Linked DNA regions of Drosophila melanogaster. The protein of the gene in region 2 purifies or fractionates together with the protein of the main gene of each other region. This does not show direct contact. Each region holds a gene or a part of one and is shown on either strand. Other genes may lie near its edges.

The links.
Region 1: the proteins of lola (region 2) and for purify together in Drosophila melanogaster (affinity purification with western blotting; one study listed by BioGRID). This does not show direct contact.

Annotation. Positions count from the first base shown.
Region 1 is NT_033779.5:3,653,917-3,658,809, forward strand, and holds the start of for (foraging), read right to left. Parts: upstream 3,038-4,893; 5' UTR 2,806-3,037; exon of another isoform or gene 2,792-2,805; intron 1,670-2,791; 5' UTR 1,354-1,669; intron 1-1,353.
Region 2 is NT_033778.4:10,539,975-10,544,867, reverse strand, and holds the start of lola (longitudinals lacking), read left to right. Parts: upstream 1-1,576; 5' UTR 1,577-1,963; intron 1,964-2,872; exon of another isoform or gene 2,873-3,027; intron 3,028-3,094; exon of another isoform or gene 3,095-3,523; intron 3,524-4,893. UniProt on the Drosophila melanogaster protein: Putative transcription factor required for axon growth and guidance in the central and peripheral nervous systems. Repels CNS axons away from the midline by promoting the expression of the midline repellent sli and its receptor robo.

The DNA.
Region 1 (4,893 bases), on a different chromosome or scaffold from region 2:
CCGAATTATGGCAGAACTTAAAAAGAGTTCTTAGATATTTGAAGGGCACTATCGATATGAAATTGATTTTTAAAAAGAACTTGGCATTTGAAAATAAAATTATTGGTTATGTGGATTCTGATTGGGCTGGTAGTGAAATTGATAGAAAAAGTACAACAGGGTATTTATTCAAAATGTTTGATTTTAATCTCATTTGTTGGAATACAAAGAGACAGAACTCAGTAGCAGCCTCATCAACTGAAGCTGAGTATATGGCCCTATTTGAAGCCGTGAGAGAAGCTCTATGGCTTAAATTTTTATTAACTAGTATTAACATTAAACTAGAAAACCCCATTAAAATTTACGAAGACAATCAAGGCTGTATTAGCATAGCAAACAATCCCTCATGTCATAAACGAGCTAAACATATTGATATTAAATATCATTTTGCCAGAGAGCAAGTTCAGAATAATGTGATTTGTCTTGAGTATATTCCTACAGAGAATCAACTGGCTGACATATTTACAAAACCGTTGCCTGCTGCGAGATTTGTGGAGTTACGAGACAAATTGGGTTTGCTGCAAGACGACCAATCGAATGCTGAATGAAATTTTTATATATATTTTTCAAATTTAAATTCCTGTAAACATATTTTGTTACAATGATCTGATCGGGTTTTTCTGGGTTTTCCCCGTATCCTCGCAGCAAATGCTGGATCAGTTAACACTTCCCAGAATGCACACCACCCACATTTGATAGTTACTAATGAATATTATTGTTATGTTTTTAATTATAGACGTTATTTTTGAGGGGGCGTGTTGGAATATACTATTCAACCTACAAAAATAACGTTAAACAACACTACTTTATATTTGATATGAATGGCCACACCTTTTATGCCATAAAACATATTGTAAGAGAATACCACTCTTTTTATTCCTTCTTTCCTTCTTGTACGTTTTTTGCTGTGAGTAGGTCGTGGTGCTGGTGTTGCAGTTGAAATAACTTAAAATATAAATCATAAAACTCAAACATAAACTTGACTATTTATTTATTTATTAAGAAAGGAAATATAAATTATAAATTACAACAATCACTTTCGGCTCTAAGGCGGAGAAAAGGGCTTAAAGACCCTGAGCCTTAATTGTTTATTCAAAGCACGGACCAGAAAAAGACAGCACTGGAGCAGTCGAAAGAGATGGGTATATAGACAAAAGGGCGCCTTGGCGAAAAAAAAAATTATTCAAAGGCCGAACGATTGTGCAATCACAAAGTTCGTAGGCGGCATAAATCCATAAATAAACAATAAGTATGAATAAATAAGTTGCTGTTCGACAACAGCGAACAGTAATTGCATATTAAAATGGAGCTTACATGTTGGACGAAAAGTGAAGAAATTCCAGGGTCGATGTAAATGTTATGGTTCCAGTCGCAGAGAATCGCTCTCTTTTCTTCTTGTTGTTGCGATCAGCCGGCTTTTGCGAAGAAAGTTTCTTCGTTTCCACTTGTTGATTTGTGATCGGCTGTCTCGCTCGCGCACTCTTCAGTTTCCTCGTTAATTCACAGGAAGCACAGAATTAAGGCCGAAAATATATTTATAAATGAAATGCAGGCGGCACACGAAACTTCGCCATCAATTTAGACGGCCTGCACTTTTGTTTTCTCGAGTCTTTCCACTTGCGTTGCGTTTCTATGAAATTGGGCATTAAAATTTAAATGCTATTAGCCACAGAACACGAACACGAAAGATTGGGAAATGAAATGAAGGAGAGAGAGTGAGAGAGAGTTCTCTCACTCGTCGCTGTTATTGTTATCACCTGAGTCGAATACAGTGGGACCCCCACTTGAAGATGCAAACAAGACTGAGCTTTTACCAATAGTATTCAATAGTTCACTGATATCGATTAAATAATTTTAAAACTTTTGATCAACATTGCTGATTAACGCTTATTGGATTTAAGAACATTCGATTTGTTAATACTTGTGATCTGGCTTAATATGATAATTTAAGTCGAGCCCCACTGTACTCTTTCTCGCGGATTTTATCGCTCACTCTTTTTGTTTTCAGTTCACTCTCTCTCGCTCCGCATAGTTTGACTTGTTGTTGTTTCTGCCAGCGTAGCGTAGTTAACTTGAGCGGCAGCAACAACAACATCAGCCATACTTGTTGCTAAAAATAGTAGCGGCGGCGAGACAGAAACAGAAAACAGAAAAACAGCGCGGCAGAATAAAATATGAAAAGGCGCACAAATTGGAAAAAATTGTACATGACGAGCAACAAAAACAAGCAGCAAGTAACAAAAAGGAGGAGGAGTAGTTACAACAACAACTGAGCTTCTGTTGAAATATATCAGAGAAAAGAAAGGCAAAGAGGCAGATCGGCGTAGAAAGGAAATGCGACGCAAAACTGCAGTCAAAGAATTAGTTGGAATGATGGACTGAAAAGTGTCAAGTTTAGCACGGAAAATTCGTCAGCTGAAGTGCGAAAGAGACAGAGCGAACGAGCAGCTAACAAGTGATTTTCCATGAAATTAATTGCAGACTGCATTTGAATTAATAATTTTCCACTTTGAAATCACAAACTAAAAGAGAGCCGCTCTCTCTTCCACTCTCTTCGCTTAATGCACCAAAACTGCATTCACAATTCACGTTTTACTAATATTTAGTCAACTTTAACCACTGCCTTTGCTTTAATTGCTTTTTAAGGCAAATAGTTGCACATATGGAAAACGCTAGTTGTTGTTTTATTTTAGAATTCAGAATTGAGCACAAATGCTAGATCGTACGACTAGCGAAAGCAGCAACAACTAACCAAGTGGCACGCACACACAAGCACAAGTCGATGAAAAACCACCGAACTAAATGGCGATGTGGATTATTCTGATAAACGCCAATGCCATATATATATATATTTTTTTTCTTTTATTAAGAACTTGTGCCAAAATTTGCAGGAAAACCACGCGTTGCATTGATTCTTATAAAAATGCCGCTAAAGTCAATTCCAAGCACGATCGCGACAAATGACAACCGCACAGCACGAGAAATTCCAACAGACTGAAAATGAAACAAACAACTTACTCGCTACCACTACTCGAATATTATGAAATAAAGAGCACATTAGCATTTTTTCTCTTAATTTTTAAAAAATTATTTTCTCTTCTGATGCAATGTTATGAATTAGCGTTGAGATAGAAAAAAAAAATTTAAAACAATATTATGCTCAATCCTTTCTACAAATTAATTACTTTAATCAAATAACAAAATATTCATATTAATAAAAGTGTACTTTGTTTGTTAACGTAAATATACTATGTGAAAGGAGTAGATTTAGTAGAGTAGTAGAATTTATAATATTTTCCCTGCTAGTTCTCTCAGAGATGATGTATCAGTTTGATTTTAATAATCATTCCGAATGAAATCATCATTGAAGTTGGTCAAGATCGGTCTTAAATTAATCTAGTATTATAAATTGCCAATGCAGGATTAACTCTGCGCCATGATTTATTCAACTTTTCTCGTATACTTTTGGAACTAACAGCACACAACGCCTATCCGTTTACGACAAATGGTGTTTGTTTTTGGAACTAATACAGCGCCATTTTTCATTTTAGTGATTTCTAACTTACGTTGTACGTTACATTTCAGATTTATTATGCATGTAAGATGTAGAATGTCATAGCAACTGGCCGTCATGTATGTAAATATGTGTATGTATAGGCATTTCAGAGCCATTTTCTGCTCATATGTAGGGGTGGAGCCTGAGAAGAGAGAAAATCCCAAAAGGGGAATAAGAAACTGGGAAATTTTACTATTTAACTCGTTTCGTAAGAGGGTATACTAGATTTGTTAAGAAGTATATAACAGGTAGAATGAATTTTCCGATCTTTTATGGTACATAAAAAGACATTTTTTGAAACATGTTGAAAATTCAAAATTTTTTAATTAAACATAAATGTTTAAGTGGAATAAGTAACATATTGTAAAAATTATTTATTAATTTTAACCGTTATTTATGTACAATTTCGTAAGGTTAGAAAAATCCAAGGATCTTTGGTCGGGAATTTCCCTCAAGAAGGCGTTGCAAACTTAAGACCACCCACCCCCAGTATTGTGCCACCCCTCCCCAACTTCGCAACCCTCTTTTCACCCCTCTGCCGCTCTCGCAGTCGACGTCGCCGGGAAGGAAGGAAAGAGATAGCAGCTGGGAGAAAGGACAAAAGGAGAAACGGGTCGGTGGAAAAGGAGGAGGAGAAAGTAGAGGAAAAGTGAGGCGGCAGCAAAAGTTGATTAGATGGATTTCGTTTGGTTTTTGTGTTTTTAATCACACACCAATTTCATTTATTAAATCTTCGCATCAGCATTTCATTTCTCGCATTCCCTATCTTTCTCTTTCCCTCCTTCTGTCTCTTTCGCTTGTGCAGTGCCTTTTTTGTTTGGCTTTGCGACGGCATTTTTGTATTTTCTGTACCGTAGTGTTTGCTCGTTTGGCCTTCTCTTTTCTCTCGCACTCCTGTTTGTTTGTTTGTTGTTTTCCCGTTCACTCATTGTCACGAGCAATTTCACTCTCTCTCCACACCCCACCACCCCCGTCTCTGCCCATCTTTTGGCCCAGGCAAAACTTTTTGCAAAATGAAATTGTTTTCGTATTAACAATTTCATTAAAATTAAATTACTTTTATTATTCCGACAGAATCAGACAAACGAAAGGAGAAAAAAGCCAGCCTCCCCTGCCGCCCCCTCACCCCTTTCAGCCATTTTGGCCCCCCATTCTACCCCCTTATTGTAAATAAGCCAAAAGCTTGGCGTCTGTTTTCTTCAGCTGTCAAACAAATTAATTGCGCTTTTAATTAATTTCGTTGGCTTTTAGAGTGGAAAGATGTGATCTTATAATATATAATATACTAAAAGCTAAAT
Region 2 (4,893 bases):
ATTTCTTTGAGCGCAGCTTTTTTAAGCTGCTGCGCGGGCGTCGACGCCGACAGCGCTACACTGCAAGAAAATATTAGTAATAGATCGGTCAAAACACTTTTCCAAATCTTACGTTTGCTCTCAAGGCATTGTAATGTGCCAATTGAGTTAGAAATCAGTTAGAAATTATATGCATATTAGCAAAAATGTAGTTTCATAAATGAATTTAAATTCTACATTCCAGTAAAAATATGCTTACTGACTTTAGTTAATCATAACACATATGTATTTCTCACCGTGTAACAGCATTATTGTTGTTCTTGTTTTTCGTGTAATTATGATCTTGTGCTGACTTTTTTATATGTACATGCATGTGTACATATATTTGCTCAAATCAAGTAATCAGTTATATTTAAGCATCAAAATCAAGTTTTGGCAATTGCTAATGCAAGGCGGTGGTAAAAAACGACCAAAGATTTATACGAATGTGTGCCGTGAACATTGACGATTTTATTAGAAAGTAGCAATTGGCAAAACAAACAGATATGCAAAATGGCAAAATGCAAAAAAAAAGAGTGGATCCATAAATTGAAAGTTTAATCTTTTCTTGACACCTTTCTACTTCCCCAGTCGGGAATTTTAATTGCCTCGCAAAAAATAATGACAGGTGTCTGGTGAATTATCTTCTTCAGCGCTAATAGCATTTATTTTATTTGTAGTAAAATTACCTAAATTAGCTTTTTATGTACATTTACAAATTTTAAGTTCTGCATCTGCATGGTGAGATCATTTCAGTTGCCGTGTAAGCTTCTTAAAAAAAACTGTGTATATATGAATGTATATATTCTTTCATATATGTATATGTATATAAATTTATAATCACATAAATATTTATGTACTTATGTAAATATTACATAAATGTATGTACATAAGTATGTTCCTCACTGCTTTGTAATCTCTAAAAATTGTAGAACCTACATTGTAAATTATGTATGACCTTGACATTTCATAATTTTTTAGAAACATTTCCACTTGGTTTATAAGAATTCGTTAAAAATTATGTTATGTATGTACATACACACATTTCTATGTACATATGTACATAGTACATCATGTGGCTTAAATCTCGTATTATGCCATGCTCTCATTATGCTTATTATAACTCTTATACATACAAAAAGTATTATAAAAGTGTTTCCCACAAATTCCACGTTTTATTTGACGATCTAAATACATAGCTTTTTACATAGAACTCCATGTGCCATATTTCCTTATGTGCTAAGCAAAAAAAAAACACATTTTCTTTGCCTTTTCATTTAGCGCGACTTCCTTTTGCCACAACCCCTTCTTCTTCTTTCTTTTCTTCCCCTCAATTCCCGCGCAAAACGCTTTTTTCCAACGAGACAGTTGCAAAAAGCAATCAACTGTATCGTGGAGTGTCCCCATCTCGCTCGCACTCACTTGTTCTAGCGCACGAACGATCTTCGGTTTTTCGAATGCAGCAGAAAGAACAACAAAAGCAAAAACTTCGTGCTCACACACACACGCAAAGCCTATTTCTTTTTTCGACTTTTATTCGAACTTTTTTGCAGCGATTTTTCAGTAACAAACGGCAACTCTCAGGAATAAAATCGTCGTCGCTCCGCTCGTTAAATTCTCGTTGCTTTTCCACCCACATAAAAAATCAGGATAAATTGTTAGTAGTCTAAAAAACAGTGCGGATTGCATAAATTCAAGCGGAGCACCGATTGGAAAAACACCCACGGAAAAAACTATGTGATGTTAAATACGTTTTTGTGTCGAGTGCATAATTTGTTGTAATTAAAGTTCAACTGCAAATGCAAAAAGACGAAATATATAATAATTTATAGGTGTTTGTGAGTGTTTGCGCCCCCTCTCCTGTGCAACGTGTGGGAAAGAGAGAGAGGGAGTGAGAAAGAGGGAACGTGACCGAGTTGCCATGAAAACTCCAATGGAAATTCAGGTGAGCGATTGTCAATCGACGTGATGTTATGCGGGGACCATCATCTCTATACGTTCACCTTTCATATGCACACTGTAGCCGTCGAAAAGATCTGTAGAATTTATGATTTTGCCACAGAAACGACACTCCTCGCATCAATTAGTATTGGTTAGAACATTTGGCATGCGTGTAGAATTTCGCACAGAAATGTTAATTTTCCAGCTGAAAACCCGATGAAACCGTTAAAAATTAAGGTACATATTTAGGTACACATAATTTGTACACCGAAATTAGAGAGAAAACGCGCGGCGATGAAGTCATGCTGGAAGCCAAAAATAAATCAACGCCGATCATAAAAACGTTTGGAGAGTGCACAAAATATAATTTGCGCTTTTTAGTGGGAAATGCATTGCACACACAAGCCGAGACCATCTTTCATCTCCCTCGCACACCCTTAAACAACTGCAACGAGAGATGGAGAGAGGTGTCGGAGTGGGGGAGAGAGAGAGCTTGCTCGGCAACGGTAATTTTACCATTTCGAACATTATGGCTTCGCTTTGCTGCGAAAAAAACAAGCAAAGCTAAAGCAACAACAAAATCTCGCCCCATGGTGGAAAACAAAAACAATACCAATGCGAATGATATTTTCGAACTCCGCCAAATATGTGCAAGCAGAGTTGTCAGCCTCGTTCGTTGTCACTTACAGTATATGAGGTTCTATTGAACAACTTTATTAATTAGTACGTACGACTCACATCTCACTGTCTATGCCAAATACTATTTACCACGTAGAGACCCTAAACAATTTTTGTGATATTCATATTCAATACTTTCTCCAATTATATTTAACATTGTCTTGAGATTAGCAAAAACGTTATCGTGTTTTTATAGACAGGCTTTTCAAGTAGTGTAGTTAGTAAATTTGACGTCCGTTGGAAACGTATTTCCTTCTTCCTTGATGTGGAACTTAAATTAGGTGGCAACCAGATAATGAAAAGCGTGTCCTCCTTCTGCATCATCCTAATTTGTCGATCTTTTGTCGTGAATTGGCAACTCTGTGCGCCAAGCATACAAAAAGCACACGTCTGAAGAGGGGTGGCAAACAGGCGACGTCAACTTATTTTTCGAACTCACACTCTCATTCGCACTCACACTCTTCGGGTTTCGCTTCGGCTTCGTTTCCAACTCTCTCGGCGCTCTTCGGGGTCTCTGCTTATGGGAACCTTTCGTTTTTTCGAGCACCAGCGGAAAGTCGCGTCAGTCGTCAGTTTTTCTTCAGTGGCTTCGCGCGTCCGCAATTTTCAGTGTGTGGTGCGTTGTTGCTGCTGCCTACTCTTTTCTTTCTGCTCTCCACGGCAGCGGGAAAGGAAAATACATACACATGCATACAGGGCCCCATCACATACAGTAAAAATAAATTCAACTTTATTGCTTTTCCCCCCGTCGCGTTATCGTGTGTGTGTGTATTAGTATTATATATATTTTACTATATATATACATATATGGATTGGAAAAGCAACACCAAAATTTGATATGTGCAAAGTTTATTGACGACTACGTGCTGCCTGTGATTCTATTTCGGTGTGTATATAAAATTGATCAATAATGTTTTAAAGTACCGCTTAATAATATACAATAAGAACTTGCATTTGAACTGTACCTGGCAATTATCTGCCTGAGATTGTGTGTGTTTTTGCATATCGAATCGATACTTCCAGTGGTGTTTCTATCGATTTTTCCCTATGCTCACTTCACGGGAGAAAGCTTTTCACCAATGTACGAAAAGAGACAGGCACAGACAGAGCAGGAGAGGGAGAGCTTTCCCACAAAATGCAACGCTGAAGTAAATGACGGGCGGTTTTCATTAATTTTCACACACGCACACACTGCCAGTGGCTCACTTTCCATGCAAATGAGGTCAAGTGTTGCAGTGGGAAATGTTTTCTACAAGTACACGTGTATGTGTGCGCGAGTAGGAAAGTTATATAAGCTTTTCATTACCGATTGCGACGAGGGAAAGCTTGATAAAAAAAACTATGATTAGTAAACACGAAGATTGCCAAGAGCGAGTTCAATTAATTGCTTTCTATTATAAACTCCTACAAAAAAGCACGTTTTTCATTTCGATAGATTCCCAAAGTCTTGGTGGCCGCCATCTTGGTTTTTCCCCCACACATAAAATATTTTGTTCAATGCTAGGCTCTCTCGCTCTTTTGGCTCCCCTTTTCTTTCTCTCCCGCTCATTTTGTCATACTCCCTCGTCAGTTTTTATGTTTGTTCACGAAAAACAAAAACAACAAGCGTGAAATTTTCTCTCTGCACTTTTCACACACACTTAGAAAAGTGGGAGAACCAGACGGCTCAGCATGAGGCAAGGAGGATGATGAGGAAGGGAGAGAGAGAACAGTCGCCACATATTTTTGTTTCCACTTTGTGCTACACTTCTGCTACGCCGCTTTTGTTGTTTTCTTTTCGACACGTTTACACATTTCCATTTTTCATATTTTCGTGTCGCCTAATCTTTTTTATGGGACTGCGCGACGTTGCTAAATTTCACTTGTGACTTTTGCAAAAGTTTCATTTGTTTACATTCTACGCACATGTGCAGAATAATAACAATAATAAATGAGATATAAAAAAGCTTTTGCGCAACAAGTGTAGAAAAGCAAAAACTGTATTTTTCTCTTTGGTTTCTTGCCTTAATTCTTTGTTTACAATTTAAACTTGTACACTTCTTTCAAGTCATCAACTTTTTTTCCTTTTAAAACACCATGACCTTGCATCGAATTTCTGACCTACACACGCACGTGCAAAAAAAGTTTAATATGTGTCGCACTTTTCTATTATCCACTATTCTTAATGTTCTTGTCTTACAGTAAACAGCAAAAATATAGAAAAAATAAAACGAAGGCGGGGAAAAATAATGAGCGGCCGTTATCGCAACCTGCTCT